Linked DNA regions of Canis lupus familiaris. The protein of the gene in region 1 purifies or fractionates together with the protein of each later gene. This does not show direct contact. Links are inferred from orthologs where the notes say so. Each region holds a gene or a part of one and is shown in the gene's direction. Other genes may lie near its edges.

Region 1 (2,549 bases):
CGTGCCTACCATGTCTCCCCATGAACACCAGCCTATTATTTTTAATTATGGCTTGCAAAGCAAAGTGATTTCTTGCCCTCTTTACGGCATCCCTGACAGCATTGTGTCAGCGGGATGATATGGTGCCCCACCGGCACACACATCCCTAGCCACAGCACCAACTGTTACTCAAAAGGTGAATCGAAAGTAATCAATCGCACTCTTTGCAACTTACAATTTGAAGTGGGCTGGGAGGAAATGTACCCCCTTAGTCACTGTCCCATTGCAAATACAGGGTGACTACGACATTTACAAACAGGTTTGCACAGGATCTGGATGAATTAACACGCGTATCCGGTGTCTGCATGAGGCATGTATGTACATGGCATGGAGTACATGTATATGTGTGTCTTAACACAGCACAGTGTCACACAGCACTGCAGACTCGTCCCCTAGCAGCACTGTGGGCAACAAAAGAAAGGAAAGGTCTGGCACCAGTCCCTCTCTGGGTTTTCTATCTGATGGGCCATCATCAGAGTGGTTGGTTTAATTCAGACAGAAGGTTCTAGAAACGTCTTGGTGTCAGATTATATCATGCATTGAGAAGTCAGCGGTTTGGATGAATTTGTTCTTGTGTGTTCAAAAGGATGCCGTCTTGCTCAGAAGAGACTTTTGATGTGACTGATACTGCGTATTTATTTTCAAAGCCTTTACCTCTACAAGGTGTAAAAAGTTGCAGCCAAGTTGATGAACTTGCTTTCACAGGATGGTCACATCACACCTTGTATGGTCACCTGCTGGGCTCGGTACCCTCTGCCGAGCCGAGATCCAGGTGTCTCCGGGCCAGGCGGGGCAGGGTCTGCTAATCCCCAGACAGGATGAAGTCAGCTCATCACTTCTTTTAAAAAGAAAAAAAAAAATTGTTTTTGGGTCTCTTTTCTTTGATTTCCAGCAACAAGGAGCTGCCACGACCGTCTACTGTGCTGCGGCTCCGGAGCTTGAGGGCCTGGGAGGGATGTACTTCAACAACTGCTGCCGCTGCATGCCGTCCGCCGAGGCTCAGAGCGAAGAGACGGCCCGGGCCCTGTGGGCGCTCAGCGAGAGGCTGATCCAGGAAGGGCTTGGCGGCCAGTCGGGCTAAGGGGAGCTCCGGTGAGCATCCGCGCACACCCACCCCGCTGCCAACGCTGGCCCCCCGCCAACCACTTATCCGGGGGCTTTCCACGTCCCCCTGTCCCCCCCCACCCCCCTCGACTCAGATCCGCCAGAGCAAAGGAAATAAGAGTAGTCACAACATAGTGAAAAAATGTCAAGTACCCACGGGAAGCAGGGAATTGCAGGGCCAAGGGGACAATCTCTCTTCTCTGGGGCTGGGTGAGGCTGGCAAGTCTCTTTGCTTTCCTGTCGGTGGCCTGTTTAGGTGGTGTGCAGGTTCCTTGTCTCACAGGGGAAGCCCAAGCAATTCTGCAGCACTGTTTCAAAAAGCCAGGTGTCCCCCCCCCTCCCCCGGCCACCCCCACAAGCACAGCCTGCCGTGGCCTCACTGTAGCCAGGAGCTGGCCTTCGTCTGTGCAGGGAAGAAGAGGCGAGTGTTCATCCTGTCATTCACCCTGACCAAGTCTGAGTGGGCATGGCAGTGACCAGGGGAGAGAGCTCTCAGACCCCTGATCCAGCCAGCCAAGAGGGAGGTGACACTTAGAAATGGGTGGGATACACAGAGCGGGTGGGTCGCCAGAGGGTTGGCCCACCGACCCCCTCGCCAAAGCTGCACAAAAAAAATTCTTCAGAGAGGATAACAAACGAATTTTGCAAATCATTCCCTAGATACCTTGGCAGGCAAGAAAGGAAGCATTGCATCCATGAGCATATACAGGATATTTGGGGGGCAGAGGATAAAAAGTTGTTCCGTTCACTCTACATTTACAGTTTCCAGAAGCATCCCGACCGTGGAGGCTCAGTGCCTCCCCGTCATCCTGCTCGAGCGTTCCGCTTCCACTTCCTCTCCTCCCGTCCAACGCTTAATAAAAGAACATGCTTGAATATGATCACCTGAAGTTGTGCACTGTCTCTTTAAATGTTTGTCTCAGTTTTGTTTTTTGTTTTGTTTTGTTTTTTTAGAAAAGAAATCTAGAGGAAAAATAAAGCGCTTCTTGTAGATGCCAGGAAAACACCGCTCTTGTTTCTTCTCGGAGTTTGTTTTGTTTTTGTGCTTTGTGGCTGTCCGTGGGCCAAGTTGTCTCTCGCGATTAGCATGCCAGCATCATATTTTCTGTTAGAGAAAGAGAGAAAGAGAAAAAAATGACTATCGTTTAATTTCACCTTAAGAGGTTTTGTTATTACTTCTAGTGGGTTCTTACGGGCCTCAGTGGTTTTCTCCCCCTGTAATTATCAAGTTCTTGGAGACTAGACAGTCTCTCTATGCATCAGAATGGGGGCAACTGGGGTCTCTTTCCAGCTAACCCCTTTTCCCATTCCATCAGGGATGTAAGGAAGTCGACCTTGGCCTGATAGAATGCTTTTGCTGAAATGCCAGGAAATACCAGGTGGTAGGATTGTGTGTGTGTGTGTGT
Region 2 (3,976 bases), about 40 Mb from region 1:
TTCCTTCCCGCCTTGTGGACTTGAATATGGACCTGCTGCAGTTGGGGGTGAGAGGCTGGTCCCTAGACACATAATTTCTGTTCCTTAGACCTGCCACCCTTCGCTTTCTGGGCCAGGGTTGGAATTGGGGTGGAATGGGACAGCTGGCTATAAAACTCTAGTGTAAATAGAGCACTCCCCTTCTTCATCTTTTCTTTTATCTCCCCATTTATTCTACACCGGTTGTATTTTTAATTTTGGACTTCCCCTTTTGGGCAGGGCAGCTCGGAGGTGGAGTACCAACCAGGGTCTGGCCAAGGGAGGAAGGAAAACAGGTGACGATATGTTCGCTCACCTCTTTTGTTTTTAATAATATTGGCCAGCTGTTTGTACAGACAGCCTGCGTGTTGTAAATAAAGCAGAGTGGGCTCTTTTGTGTTTATAGCCCTCCCTGACTGTCCTGCTTGGGTGGGGGCGCGGTGGAAAAGCAGAAGGCGCGGGGGGCTGAAGCCCACCTCCAGAGCAGAAAACCACCCGGCTCTGCGCGCCCCCACCCCCCAGCTCCCCAGACCCCCGCCCCCAGCCTGGCCCTCAGTCGGCTTGCTTCCACCGGGCACCCCAGCCCAGGACCCCCATCCTATCTCCCAACACGCACGCTCCAGGGAATCAGCGTTGTTTGGAGCTCTCCGCCCGAGTGGGGCCAAACGGGATGGGTACCGGTGGCCAGGCCCCCCGAAGGCCAGTGCCGGCCTCCGCCGGGGTGCTCGGAGGACGCGGGTGGGGACACATTTGGGGGCGGGGCCGTCGAGGGCTAGGAGACCGTTGCTGAAAGCAATGATCACGTGGCGCTGGCACTGGGCGGAGCCTGTAGGTCACGTGGTCGGTGGAGTCACGTGACGGAGGGCGGGCCGCCGCGGACCACGTGACATGGGGAGAGGTGGGCGGGGTGCTGCAGGGCGCCCGCGACGTCGGCGGCGGTGGCGCGCGGTGGCGGCGGCGACGGCGGCCGAGTCTGCGGCATCGGGTCGAGCCCTCCGGCCCGCCCCCTTCCCTTCCGTCGGCCGCCACCCCGCTGATCCCCGCCGCCTTCCCGCCGCGCCTTTCCGGCGCCCGGCTGATCGTGTCCGCGCTCGCGCGGCGGGGTGCGGGTGTGCGCAGGCGCGGTGGGGGCGCTTCGCCCGGTTGGGTGGGCGGCGGGACCTGGGAGCGCGCGGGCGAGACCATGGCGGGCAGCGGCGCGGGGGGCGGCGGCGTCGGGGAGACGAAGGTGATTTACCACCTGGATGAGGAGGAGACTCCCTACCTGGTGAAGATCCCGGTTCCGGCGGAGCGCATCACCCTCGGTGATTTCAAGAGCGTCCTGCAGCGGCCCGCGGGCGCTAAGTACTTTTTCAAGTCTATGGATCAGGATTTCGGGTGAGCGCGAGGCCTAGGCTGGAACCGGTGGGGGCTGCGCGGCGGTGGATCGGCCACTGCTGAGGGGCACAGGTCGGCCCTAGGCCACGCTGGGTTTTTCTGGGCTGGAGTGCTGGACAGGGCATTATGCGGGGGTTAGATTGGGCATCCCAGGTTGGGTAAGGTTACGCTTGGACAAATCGAGACGCACGGAGCTCCAGGACGACACACCGGGCCGTGCCGAACCAGATCAGGAAAGATTAGGCTGTCCTGGAATAGAATGGGGCACACTGGTTTATTTGGGAGTTATTCTGGGTAATCCGATGCCTTTCGAGCAGTCCTGCGGCCCACGGGCAGTATTGTGGAATCTCCCGATGATTGGGCCGTGTTGGGGTGCTTTAGGGCATTCTAGACCATCCTAGAGCAGATAAGATTGTTTGGGGACATCTGGCCTGTTCTGGTGCAGAAAAGGGTGTGTTGGGATGTTCTAGGCTGCTTTGGAGCAGATTACCAGGCTCTCTCGGAAGAATTTCCTGCTCTTCTGTCTCTTCTGGGTTGTGTTGGTTGATCTTAAGTTTCTGTTGGGGTCAAGTGTTTCATGGGGACGCTCTGTAGAGAGGCAGACAAGGTTTTTGAGGCTATGCCAGTGCAGACAGCTGTATTGGGATAATCTGGTCTATATTGGTATGGACGGCTGCGTGTGGAGACGTTGTAGGTCATTGCTAAAATAGCCCAATATGGCTATTCTGGAGTGTTTGGAGTCATTCTGGGCCAGACTTGGATTCTTAATAATAAATTTGCTTATGGTTTTTGAGGCTGAGTTCTCCAGGTAGCCAGCCTCAGCTCTTGAAGGCAGGCTGGATTGGCCTGAGACAGCCCATGTTCTGGGATAGCTGAATGGACTGGCTTCTACTGAGAAAGACCGTTGGCCGTGAGGAAGGTGGGACTGTGTTGGGAGTTACCTTTGATTTAGATCGAAATTCCTGTTTGTTAGCAATGATATGACCCAGGAGATAGACACAGTTGGCACAAGAAACTTCGTATAGGTAAGCGATGCACAGTAATTTTTTAGCGAGTTGTGATGATCGCTAGCGTCGAGCTCAGCTAATCTGTAAACGGGGTTATGGTGATAGAGAGTGGAATCATTTGCCGGGCTGGGCTCCGCCGGGACTGGGTTACATCTCTAAGAATCCAGCATTATATCGAGACAGAGCAGTGGTAGGGATTGGGCTGAGTGGCCCTATCGATAACAAGTGGGATTAAGTTGTCACGCATCCAGGCTCCTAGAACCATATTAGGGTAAAGGGTTAATCAGACAGGCTGTCCTAATTTGGAGGTGAGGATGTGAGTATGAGAGAGACCTTCTGTTCAATACTCAGTCTCTCAGAGCTCGTGTTTGTTCATGAGATACTTGTTCAACAAGTATACTCGTTAACAGTATTGAACAGATATTTATTAACATTCACTTTACCACCATCAGGGTCTTTGCTGTGTGGCCAGGATGCAGTGTTGAACAGAATAGGCTGTGGTGGGATCCCTGGGTGGCGCAGCGGTTTGGCGCCTGCCTTTGGCCCAGGGCGCGATCCTGGAGACCCGGGATCGAATCCCACATCAGGCTCCCGGTGCATGGAGCCTGCTTCTCCCTCTGCCTATGTCTCTGCCTCTCTCTCTCTCTCTCTCTGTGACTATCATAAATAAATAAAAATTAAAAAAAAAAAAAAAGAAAAAAGAAAAAAAAAGAATAGGCTGTGGTGATCCCACGTGGTGGTTGAGAAGAAGGGGCAAAGTCCTGTCCATCCCAAGGAACCCAGGGGAGGAATGACCCCAAGGCTGGGCTTTGAGGTCCGTCAGGCAGAACAGGTTGCTCAGTGTAGAATTTTGTGCCAGATGAGCCCCGGGGGAAGGGGAAGGTGGGCTTCACCTCTCCTTGGGAGTGCTCAGCCTAGCCAGTAGGTGTCATCCTTGGGTCTCATGGGTATATTTTCGTGGGGGAAAGGTAGCATGTTGGGCTAGGGCTTTGGACATGACTCAGAGAAAACCAAGAAAGCATGAGAATAGAGACTTTGGAGGGTTTGGGGACGGTGCCTTGAGGAGCGGGGTAGGGCTCAGGGAGGTTTGGGGTCATTCTGGGCTGTTAGAGACACCAAAGGTTAGAGATCTTTGGGGCAGTTGGGGTCACCTGAGGGAGTGGGACGGTCGTTGAGATTGGAGAATGAGGTTTGACTCAGACTCTAGGAAATCTTTGGACCAGCATAGGAAATCTTTGGACCAGCATTGAAAGCCGAGGATGAGCTGGGGAGAGGAGGAGGAGGAAGGAAAGGGGGTGAGTGAATTTGGAGACTCCCGGGGCATGAGAGTGAAGTGTCTCGGTGTTGGGGAAGAGGGCCTGGCCGGCTGCATGAAAGTCATCGTCCTTGAGCTGGACGAAGATGAGAAGCCTCGAGTCGGGGTGCGTGTGGGGGGCGCTAGGGCGATCTCACTGGTTCTTGTGTTGTCCCTCCTGGCAGGGTGGTGAAGGAGGAGATTTCAGATGACAACGCCCGCCTTCCCTGCTTCAACGGGAGGGTGGTGTCCTGGGTAAGCAGCCCTGTCCATCCCGCAT
Region 3 (3,134 bases), on another chromosome or scaffold:
AAGAACGTGCCCGAGGCCTTCAAAGGGACCAAGAAAGGCACCGTCTACCTTACTCCTTACCGGGTGAGTTGCACAGTGATGGTGGGTTTGCAAGCCCATGGTTCCTGGAGGCCGATGTGAGTCTTATGTCAGCCTCAGCCTTATGGGTCCAGTGGCCCCTGAACCTGTGGCCAGCCCTCCCCATGTTTCTGTCATGTGCTCCCAGGTTCTAGAATCAGCAGACTCTGTGGGCAGCTGAACCAACCCCTGGGCATTGAATCCATGAAAATTCTGGAACCACTACTGTAAAATCTATGTTGTTGTGTGCAGCAGCTGGGGTGACTGGGGCCTGGGGCAGCAGGGGGCTGTTGTACCTTGATTTCTGTGAGAGCAGAAAGGGCCCACAAGGCCTTTGTACACATCCAGAGTGACAAGTACGGAAAACAGGACATAGTAGCATGGCCGGAGCCTCCAGTCTGGGCGGAAAGCCCAGCACAGCCCTGCAGAGCGAGAAGTGCCCAACTGCAGGATGGGCCTTGCCTGAGACTGAGCCAGGCCGACTGAGAGTCTTCCAGAGAAAGACAAATGGCCATTCTTAGAAAAGGTTCACTGCTTGTAGCTACCAAAAGTTAGATTTTTTTTTTTTTTAAGATTTTATGTATTTATTCGTGAGAGACAAAAAGGCAGAGGGAGAAGCAGGCTCCCTGCGGGGAGCCCGATATGGGACTCGATCCCAGGACCCCGGGATCACACCCTGAGCCGAAGGCAGACGCTCCACCACTGAGCCACCCAGGCGTCCCAAGAGTTAGATTTAAAGATGGTTGGAAGAGAGCGGCATATCTTTAAGGTTTTCATCACCGCAACTTAGAGACAAGGGAGCCTCAAAACCCCTTTTCTGGTGGCATCTTCAGTCACAGATTGAAGGGTTTAAAACGTAGTTTTCCAAGTGCAGGCTGGGAGACTTGCAGTTTGGGCAGCCCCCTTCTCCTGGGACCCAACACCCCCTACCTCTCCTTCACTCTGTTCTGTGAAGCTCAGGCTATGCCTCCCAGCCCCCTTCTGGAAGTCAGCACTGCCCTACCCTGCCCCCCTGCCCTAGCTTTACAGCTCCCCTCACTTGCGTACCACAGCCACCACTTAAACGGCAGAGCAGCCTGTCCCTCTCATGTGACCTGTGAGTGGTGTGTTTGTCTCGTGAACACCCACGTTCAGCCTCTCCAGCCAGGCCGCACGTAGGCCCTCTCACTTACAGAGCTCTCTCCGGAAGTGTCTGGTGCAGAGTGTGCCCTAGGGCTGCTGGGAAGTGATAATTGAGCGGGCTGGCCGTGGTGTGGCCACTGAAGGCTCTCTTCCTGTCTCCGTGCAGGTTATCTTTCTGTCCAAAGGAAAGGATGCCATGCAGTCTTTCATGATGCCATTTTATCTGATGAAGGACTGTGAGATCAAGCAGCCTGTGTTTGGTGCAAACTACATCAAGGGAACAGTGAAAGCTGAAGCAGGAGGTGGGTGAAGGGGGCTCAGGGCCACAGATGGGCTCTCAGGGAGGTGCTGGGGCACACCTCTACTGTCTCGGAGATATCCTCTTCCTCCTGGCTCTGGATTGGCTTCCAGGACCCAACCCTGGGCTGCGAGCTGGTCAGCAGGGGTGGGTTTTTGAATGACAAGAGCTAAGAAATCCTGACATTAAAAGCAGCTCATGTCACCTTTTCAGAGTGAAATCAGCCAAATGACTGAAAAATAAATGCTTACCGTAACCGGGGAGCATGTTCACATTCTAGGTATGGGAAACGACGTGTCAGACTCTCAGAAATGGTCTTTTTTTTTTTTTTTTTTTTAAGATTTTATTTATTTGGGATGCCTGGGTGGCTCAGCGGTTGAGCGTTTTGTCTTTGGGTCAGGACGTGATCCTGGAGCCCCGGGATCGAGTCCCACGTCGGGCTCCCTGCATGGAGCCTGTTTCTCCCTCTGCCTGTGTCTCTGCCTCTCCCTCTCTCTCTTTCTGTGTCTCTCATGAATAGATGAAATCTTTAAAAAAAAAAAAAAAAGGATTTGATTTATTTATTCACGAGAGATACAGAGAGAGAGGCAGAGACACAGGCAGAGGGAGAAGCAGGCCCTGTGTGGGGAAACCAATGTCGGACCCGATCCTGGGACCCTGGGATCACGCCGAGCCAAAGGCAGACGCTCAACCACTGAGCCACCCAGGCGTCCCTCAGGAATGGTCTTTTCTAGAGCCAGGAAGAGCCAGCGGCCCCTCTGCCTCCTGGAGAGGCCCTGCTTGGCAGCAGGCTCTTCTGCAGACACCAGAGACCTCTGTGTTAAACTTGGCCTCCCCCTTCCACCCAGCCAGGTGGCCTTGCTCTCTAGAGACTCATGGTTCCCCTTTGGCAGAAGCCAGGCTGGAGGAGCGGGGGGCCCATCCTTAGGCCCCTCAGGAGGAGAGAGATGCTCTGAACTTGAATGTCACTTGTTGCTGAGGAAACCTGCTCTGGGGAAGCTGCCTCATTGATGAGTGGGAGGCTCTCGCTGAGGAACTTATACAGCTGGGGGTGGGATAACAAGTTCCAAGAAAGAAAAGCCCCCTGTTCGAGAGAGTGAAGCAGGCAGGAGCAGAAGACAGGCCAGCCTGCAGCGGGCACATGCTGTGTGGGCAGCGCACCAGAAGCAGCCTGGCGGGAAGGCAGGCACTGCAGAGCCAGCCCTCTCCCCACGGGCACTGGAAGGAGACCTGTAGGGAACAGAGCCATCTCTTCAGCTGTAATCTGTGTTTTTTCCTGAGCCAGTAATGCCCTGTTCCCCTCCCAGGTGGCTGGGAAGGCGCTGCGTCATACAAGTTGACCTTTACGGCAGGGGGCGCCATCGAGTTTGGACAGCGGATGCTACAGGTGGCATCTCAAGGTATCCCGGCTCTGAAAGTGCGGGGTGAAAACATATATTGGAAACCTGTGGGTTTTAGTTTGTTCATTTGAGTTTGTTTACTTTTTGTTACTAAGCTAAGTCTCTGGGCCCCGGGCCGACCGAGGCTGGGAATTGGGAAGGAAGCTTGTCATTAGCTTGTCACTGTGGCCTGTATCTCAGAGGCTGGGTTACCCTGTCTGGAGCCTGGATAGGACATCTTGACACAGCTCTTTGGACTCCGAGACGTTTTACTGTGG
Region 4 (3,518 bases), on another chromosome or scaffold:
GATAGATAGATAGATAGATAGATAAATACTCTGCTTTGAAACATAGCCCAGGTCATCAACCCATATCTATAAGGCATTTTAAGATTTTTATGATATATCATAGTTGATTGCAAAAGGTATACAAGGCAAAGAGAAACACAATATTTAAAATGCACCTTTGTGGCAAATTGCCACTGGATGCATCTTTATTTTTATAAAAATAAATATGTATTAGCTATGGTTTATAGGTTCAAATGACAGAATTGTAAGTTTTGAGGATGTTTCTGGTTCAGTTTTTCTGAGATTGTCCCTCTGCATGAAGCCATCTCTGTTTAACCCTATCTTGCGTTCATTCCTGCAAGGATAGAGTTGGATTGCTCTTGGCAGAGGTGGGGGTTTTGCTGTTCCTGCTTTTGTTTTTGTATTTATGTGTTTATTATATTTTCCATCATTTTGATTTGTAATTGGATTGCATTTTGTTTATATTGGAAGTTCTGATAGAGATGTGAGTGTCTATTCTTTTATAACTGCATATATAAGTTAACAAAATATCCTCATCAAATACATGTTCTGTAAATATGTATTTATATTGACTGACTGAATATAGATGGACAGCCATCCACTTCTTAACTTGTTCCAGCCTGTCTCATGGACACTGAATTTTAATTATTGGTTCTACAGAGCCATTCCTTAATGTGCAAAATTAAGTAGGATTTAAACAAGATCAAACACTTAAATTGTGTCACTAGTTACATTTTTACATTATATTTAAAACTCATAAGATTTAAAAAATAATAAGCAAAATCAGGTAACCATGGCAATAATTAGGTAATAAGGATATTATAAAGTATAATTTGAAGATCACATATACTTTTATATTTTAAGCTTTGTATTTTTATTAGTAGTCAATGATAAGTATTATGAGCTAAAAAAAGACTTCAGTTTGAATAAATAATTATTACAGATGGAAGTAAAAAAAACATAGTCCTAATTAATGGATTTTACATAAAAATATGCTTTGTATGCTATGTGAACCAATCAAAATTCATTGGTAAAACTCTTACACACAGCTATTTCTGAATGTACAAGCCTACCCTTAAGAAATGGTGACTTTTTAATTGTATAATTATGAGATCATAAAGAGGAGTATAGGGTATATTTTCTTGTTCAAATTAGAATCATTATATTTTTAAGCATTTTATTTATTCATGAGAGAGAGAGGCAGAGACACAGGGAGAGGGAGAAGCAGGCTCCATGCAGGGAGCCGGACATGGGATTTGATCCCCGGTCTCCAGGATCACACCCTGGGCCAAAGGTAATGCTAAACCGCTGAGCCACCCGGGCTGCCTTCATTAAAAATTTCAAGACAATAATATGATAGTAGAATTTCCCATAAAGATTTTGTCATTGGGCTTCTTCTAATGGACATAGAAATCTGAAGAGCCTTTCTTTAGACTATTTTTTTAAATTTATTTATGTATTTGAGAGAGAGAGTAGAGGAGGAGGGCAGAGTCTTAAGCAGATGCCACATTGAGTGAGCACAGATCCTGATGCGGGGCTCAATCCCACCATCCTGAGATGACAACCTCAGCCAAAGCCAAGAGTCTGAATGCTTAATGGATTGTGTCACCCAAGCGCCCTCCCTCTTTAGACTATTTTTGACTGCCTTTCTAAGGAGCTTTCTTTTGTCACTGGCATACAGCTGGTTTCTTCGAAGAGTGTTGTTAATATGCTTATGTAAATATTTGATCTCCAATTTAGGAGTCACTATATGGGAACTGATGACATTTGGAGGAAAACCCTACGATGGAATTCCAACCCGAGAAATCCCTGATTTATTAGAGAAAGGAGAACGTTTGCCGCAGCCTCCTATCTGCACTATTGACGTTTACATGGTCATGGTCAAATGTAAGATTGCAAAATAATTTTATCATCACCATCATCATGCTTAGTAAAGTAATAGTATGGATTAATCTACCTGCATAATGTTTTTTGATATTGAAAAATATGAAAGTTCAAAATAATTATGAAAAAAGATCATGTAAACACCTGTGTTTGTGTGCTTATTGTTAATAGGAAGCAATATGCGTGCTTCCACGTTATAAAGTCAAAATTTTATGACTCTTCCTCTTCTGATTCATTTCACTTTGAATCTTATCATTTCCATGACAATCAAATTGTCTTTCATAAAGAGATGTAATTAGTCACAATAATGTTAGTCATCTTTATAGGAAAATAGCAGTCTAAACAAATGGTTTAAATACAAAGGGAGAAAGCTTGAAACTGATAGTTTAAAAAAATGAATTAAATGGAAATAGGTTTACCAATTTTAGTCAACAGGAAATTAGCAGAGCAGAATGGGAAATGGAAAGACGTGAATCTACAGTGAAAAAGATTATGAATGCTTACTTTTTTCGATTTGATCATTTGTTTACATCAAATGCTCTTTTCTTCCTCCTTTCTATGCCCCAGACACATATGTATTATAAATGTGTTTTGGCAGCCTAGGCTCTTAATTTAAATAGAATTAGAGAAGTCTCTGGAGTTTCCTACTTAATTTAAGTGAGATTAACATTCAGCAATCTTTCTTGTGTAATCTGGGGTTTTCCCCTTTTGATTTACACAGGGTTAGCAAAGAAACAAACTGGTGAAGGTGAATAAGCATCTTATTAATAAGAGACTTTGGACCCAGATCCACTCAGATTTATATTCATGACATGTGTGATACATTCTGACAGTAAGGAAGAAATAAAAAATGTGCTTTCCAGTTCAGGTCAGCATGCCCTTTTCTCTAAGCATAGTTCTATTTACTCAATATTTAGTTAGAAAGATACTGATACCTCCCGGCGAAGTTAACCTTTTTTGATTCCAATAGTTCCAGAAATACCTATTTTCTCATTAGCATTTTTTTTTGTAAGTGAATGCATATAGTTGAGCTTTGTTAAGAGAGAAAAAATGCAGGTGATACTAATGATACATGAAATGACACACACAGACTTCCCAGAACAAGAATAAAAATTGAACTCCTGGAAAAGGGAAACAAACCTTATAGCTTTATTGGATCAAACATCATTCAGGAGTCATCTATGGAAGGAACTTTAAAAACATGCATGCATTATATAATTTGATCTCATAACTAGCATCAGAGGTAATTTAAAATACTTTGTTTAGATACTCTGATGAAACAATGAAAAAAATCAGGAAAATATTTTGCCTAATAGAGTTTTACCTTGCTTTTGTGAATTTTAATACTTAAGAAGACAGTCATTTGGCAAGAAAATCAAGGAAAGCTTGGTGCTTTAATTTTTGTGATCTCACCAGCTAAACAGTGCCTGGGGAGATGGGACCCACTTTATCTAGAGTCCCAGCTAAATAATAATACATACCTTGAAAATTGCTGATAGTATTTTTATGCTGCAAAGGCTAGTACTTAGATAAGCTAATGGCTATTGCTGAACAAGCATTACCCATAACTTTGCATTTTCTTTTTCCCCACCAGGAAAGAGGTGGCACAAGAAAGTTGCTTTTTCTTCCTTTTT
Region 5 (3,986 bases), on another chromosome or scaffold:
AGAGTCCAAAGACTCTTGGTGGGCCTGTCTGATGGGTGCCCTTACCGTGACGATAAAGCCCACAGTCATCTTTCCTGCTCGTCTTGCAAGTTTTGGTTCTAACAGGGACAGTCCAGTGCTGCATATGTTAAAGTCATCAGATGAGTACACGTGACGAAGACCAGAAAGCGTCAGGGACTAGTCTTAGGTGCTGTGTGTTTCCATGACTCCCTCCTCTACGTCCAGTCACGGGGAGGCTCCCGTCCTTTCTGCTCCTCGGTCACCCTTGAGCCTGGGTCCCGCCGCTCAGCGCCCTGCAAGCGACGATCCCTTTAAACGTCATGAATTAAGTTTTCTTGCCCACCTCCGTACCTGGCCCTCCAGCTCGGGGTCTGTCCATCTCACAGGTTCACACGAATGCTTGTTGAATGACTGCCCCGAGGACTTGGGATCTGACTCACGCGGTGAAAACAATACGGTGGGTGGTGGGTGGGAGGTAGTGGAGGTGGGGAGGGGCTGCAGCAGAGCCCGAGGACATCCCAGACCCGGCCACCGTGGGGCCACCTGTGGCGGGGTGTAGGCCGGGCCGGGAGGAGGACGCAGAGCTCGAAGCACCGGCATCTACACCGGGGGCGCGGTGCAAGGAGCCCTTTAGTCACGGCCTGTCGCCCTCGCCCCAGGCCGTCCCCGGGGCGCCCGCGGTTGGTGGGAATCGGCGGGAGAGCGACGCACGGAGGCCGGGGATGCTGCGGGTCCACCGACAGCGCCCCCCAAACGGGCTCCCCCACGCGAAGACTTCGCCTCCTTCAGCGATCTTGCCGGGTCTATTCAAAGGTGACAGGGCGGGCTCCGCCGGGGCCCGAGCCACCCGCCAGCTCGTCCCCGGCTCGCCGGGCCTCGGGGCCCCCGGCTCGGCTCGGGAGGGCGGCGCGGGCTGGGAGCCGGTGCCCGCGGGCGCGCGCCCAGGAGGGCGGGGCGGGGCCGGGGGCGGGGCGCGGGGGCGGGGCGAGGGCGGAGCCGGGAGCGCGCGGGGGTGGAGCCCGGAGCCCGGAGCGCGGGGGGCGGGGCGGGGCGGGGCGGGGCCGGGGGGGGGGCGGGGCGCGGCCGGGGCTGCGCGGCGAGGGCTGCACGGCGCCACCAGGCTCCGCGCCCACCCGCCCGCCCGCCGCCCCGCGCCCCGCAGCCCCGCCGTCCGCGGCCTGAGCCCCGCCGCTGCTCCGCTGTGGCGCTCACCGCTCGGGCCCGCGCTGCTGACCTGCGCCCGCGCCCCGACAGCAGCGCACCCCGGAGAGGACCCGGAGCCATGGGCCGCCTGCCCCGGAGGGTGGCGGCGCTGCTGCTCGGGCTGCTCGTGGAGGTAGGGGCCGAGGCCGGGCCGCGCCGCCCCGGGCGCCTCGCAGCTGCGCCGCCGAGCGCGAACAATGCCGGGCTGCGCGGGTGCGGGGCGCGGACGCCCCGAGGACCACCTGTGCGGACCCGAGAGGCGGGCGGCGGCGGGCGGCGGCGGGCGGCCTCGCGGACCTGCGTGTGCGGGCGCCCGACGGCCCCTCCGGCCTGCCCCGGCTCCCGGGCCTCCCCGCCCGCGCCCCTGCCCGTCTCCCCCACGGCCCTTCCCCCGCGCTGCGGGGCTGCTCGCGGCGGCCGGGGAGACCCAGGTGTGGCCTTTGAGCCTCGCACCGCGAGCGCCGCCGAGGAGCGCGGGGTGGTGCCCGCGGGGTGGTGCCCGGGGGCCGGGGGCCGGGGGCCGGGGGCGGTGCAGGCGCGGGCGGGGCTGGAGGCTGGAGGCTGCGGGGTGGGGCGGCTCGGCGGCCGGCGGTGCAGGTGCGACCCCGCGGGCGCCGCGCCCCGGGCCCTGGGCCGCCGCCGCCCCGGGACGTGGGGTCAGGTGGAGCGCGGGCTTCAGGTCCCGGCGAGAAATCCCTCGGAGACTTGGGTGCTGGGCGCGGTTCGCTGGAGCCTGGGGGGGGACTCGCCGCGGGGGAGGGTGGGAGCGCCCCTCGTGCCCTCGCCCCCGCCCACCCCGCGCGCCCCGGGCCTGGAAGGTCGCGCCCCCGAGGTGGGGGGGGGCTCCCCGTCTTTGCTCAAGCAGGTTCTTTGCAATGTGAGCTGATAGGATCCTCTGGGGTGTGGAGTCTGGATTAGGGTTCACGCAACTCCCTGCTCAGCTGCATTGTTTTGGAGGAAATTTGCCTTAAATCAATGACATCGGAGTTAAATGGGTGGTGAACGCTGACGCCCCTTTCTGTCTTTTCCATTCCAGAGGGTTGGAGAACTCTTTAATATTGGGTGTCTGTGCTGGAAGTGACTTGGCTTTCTTAGCTGATTAAAAAATAATTATCAGGGAATGTTGGGAGGGAGCTTGTTCTTGGCACTAGGAAGGGAGGTTGATGGAAAAGCTTCTTGCGCCAGGCTGACTTTTTATTTTTGTTTATTTTGTTCTTAATATCCCTCTGGCTTGATATATGTTTTTTTGCGGGGTGCCTCTTCGCTTGCATTCTTTGCATTTGGTCAGAATTTTAAGACCTTAGAGATCACATCCCGGCCGTGACGCACCAGACAGAGCTATGGAGAAGTGAGTCTGAGACAACTGTTTACCTAAAACCCAATGCATCTGTACTTATGAATGCAAGGCCCCCTCCCAATCCCCTTTTAAAATCAGCTCTTGATAAAATTTTATATCCCACTGCCTGGCTTCCTCTAGGTCTTCAGTGTATGTGGTGCTGTGCCCTGTTATGTAGTCAAGACTGCTTCAGGGACCCAGTTCTTTCCAACGAAGCTGTTTTGTTGCATAGGAATTTATCATCTTAATAGGGTGTTCAGATCATGTCTGGAAAGTTGACACGATCTCAAAGGCACAACTGTGACAGCAGGGAAACTGAAATGACTGGGCTGGTGCTTTCACAAGTCAAATAGCTAGATAACTGGTAATTTTTGTCTTTAATGGGATCGTGTGGTGTAGCTCACTTTTACAAGATTGTCCTAAGCACCTATTTTGTTTCTGGTGGAGAGGTGTCTGAGGAATTAAGGAGATTTTTTTTTTTTTTGTATTTCATCACATGGGATTTTATCCGTGAAATAGATGCTGAGATGTTTTCATCTAAAATTGGCTGTTGTCAGAGCATCTTTGATGCTATTGAAGTCCTGAATCACATACATAAGTGGGCAATCACAGTGGCCAAGTATGTGAGGAGGCAAAGGGTTCTCTTTACGTTAAGCACATAAAACTATTGATGGGGCCCTTCGGTGGCCTCTGACGGCCACCTGCAACCCGGGATAGTTGCCTCTGTTTCTTTGTTCTGCTTGCCCCGGTTCAATTGTAGTTGTAGTGTGGTTGATTATATACTAGCTGGCAGCGGTTATTCTGTTCCAGCCCCGCAGCACTCTCTTCCCAGCCAGCACCCAGGACCGGGCAGAGAGGTTTTATTTATTCCGGCAAGAGGCCTCTGAGTAGAGGGGGAAACTAGAAACTGTTCTGAGAAGGGCTTTCCTCCCATCTCACCATCTCTTTATAGAAATTCACTTACCTAGGAGACACAAAGACTGCATATTTGTTTTTTACTTATCAGACATTTATAGAGTGCTTACCCTGTGTCAAGCACTGTTCTAAGCACTTTACAAATATTAACTGATTACAAATAGTAGCTCAGCCATTACTTTTATTCTCATTTTTATTTCAAATGGAAGATGTTATAAAGAACTTGTCCACAGTCTCACTGCTGTTAAATGTGAAGGACTTGGGACATAAACCCAGGTAGTCGGGCTCCACCTCACCATGCTGCACTGCTGGCTTTAGACATGGGAAGAATTTGCACATAGTATGTCCTGAAACCAGAGGTGGGCTTAGAGAGATATGTGTTCCATGAAACAGGTAAACTAGCAAAATATGTTCTAGGAACTCCCTCCACTTCCTTAGGGGAACCATATACTGTACTGTTCAACTGTGACACTTAGGAAAATGAAATGGGGGGCTCCTAATACCTGCCTGCATGGCAGGCACCCATCAACAG

Evidence for each region.
Region 2: the proteins of WWOX (region 1) and DVL2 purify together in Homo sapiens (affinity purification with mass spectrometry; 4 studies listed by BioGRID and IntAct, counting the BioPlex papers as one, with this or other methods). This does not show direct contact. The link is inferred for Canis lupus familiaris from reciprocal best matches to the Homo sapiens genes WWOX and DVL2.
Region 3: the proteins of WWOX (region 1) and WBP2 purify together in Homo sapiens (affinity purification with mass spectrometry; 3 studies listed by BioGRID and IntAct, with this or other methods). This does not show direct contact. The link is inferred for Canis lupus familiaris from reciprocal best matches to the Homo sapiens genes WWOX and WBP2.
Region 4: the proteins of WWOX (region 1) and ERBB4 purify together in Homo sapiens (affinity purification with western blotting; 4 studies listed by BioGRID). This does not show direct contact. The link is inferred for Canis lupus familiaris from reciprocal best matches to the Homo sapiens genes WWOX and ERBB4.
Region 5: the proteins of WWOX (region 1) and VOPP1 purify together in Homo sapiens (affinity purification with mass spectrometry; 3 studies listed by BioGRID and IntAct, with this or other methods). This does not show direct contact. The link is inferred for Canis lupus familiaris from reciprocal best matches to the Homo sapiens genes WWOX and VOPP1.

Annotation. Positions count from the first base shown.
Region 1 is NC_049226.1:72,857,105-72,859,653, reverse strand, and holds the end of WWOX (WW domain-containing oxidoreductase), read left to right. Parts: intron 1-931; coding exon 932-1,120; 3' UTR 1,121-1,131; exon of another isoform or gene 1,132-1,905; 3' UTR 1,906-2,033; downstream 2,034-2,549. UniProt on the Homo sapiens protein: Putative oxidoreductase. Acts as a tumor suppressor and plays a role in apoptosis. Required for normal bone development. May function synergistically with p53/TP53 to control genotoxic stress-induced cell death.
Region 2 is NC_049226.1:32,405,974-32,409,949, reverse strand, and holds the start of DVL2 (segment polarity protein dishevelled homolog DVL-2), read left to right. Parts: upstream 1-1,158; 5' UTR 1,159-1,201; coding exon 1,202-1,395; intron 1,396-1,483; exon of another isoform or gene 1,484-2,420; intron 2,421-3,096; exon of another isoform or gene 3,097-3,697; intron 3,698-3,881; coding exon 3,882-3,951; intron 3,952-3,976.
Region 3 is NC_049230.1:5,627,229-5,630,362, forward strand, and holds part of WBP2 (WW domain-binding protein 2), read left to right. Parts: coding exon 1-63; intron 64-1,345; coding exon 1,346-1,481; intron 1,482-2,784; coding exon 2,785-2,877; intron 2,878-3,134. UniProt on the Homo sapiens protein: Acts as a transcriptional coactivator of estrogen and progesterone receptors (ESR1 and PGR) upon hormone activation. In presence of estrogen, binds to ESR1-responsive promoters. Synergizes with YAP1 to enhance PGR activity.
Region 4 is NC_049258.1:18,935,746-18,939,263, reverse strand, and holds part of ERBB4 (receptor tyrosine-protein kinase erbB-4), read left to right. Parts: intron 1-1,740; coding exon 1,741-1,887; intron 1,888-3,518. UniProt on the Homo sapiens protein: Tyrosine-protein kinase that plays an essential role as cell surface receptor for neuregulins and EGF family members and regulates development of the heart, the central nervous system and the mammary gland, gene transcription, cell proliferation, differentiation, migration and apoptosis.
Region 5 is NC_049239.1:6,497,044-6,501,029, reverse strand, and holds the start of VOPP1 (vesicular, overexpressed in cancer, prosurvival protein 1), read left to right. Parts: upstream 1-1,168; 5' UTR 1,169-1,282; coding exon 1,283-1,336; intron 1,337-3,986. UniProt on the Homo sapiens protein: Increases the transcriptional activity of NFKB1 by facilitating its nuclear translocation, DNA-binding and associated apoptotic response, when overexpressed. May sequester WWOX in lysosomal vesicles and thereby regulate WWOX role as tumor suppressor.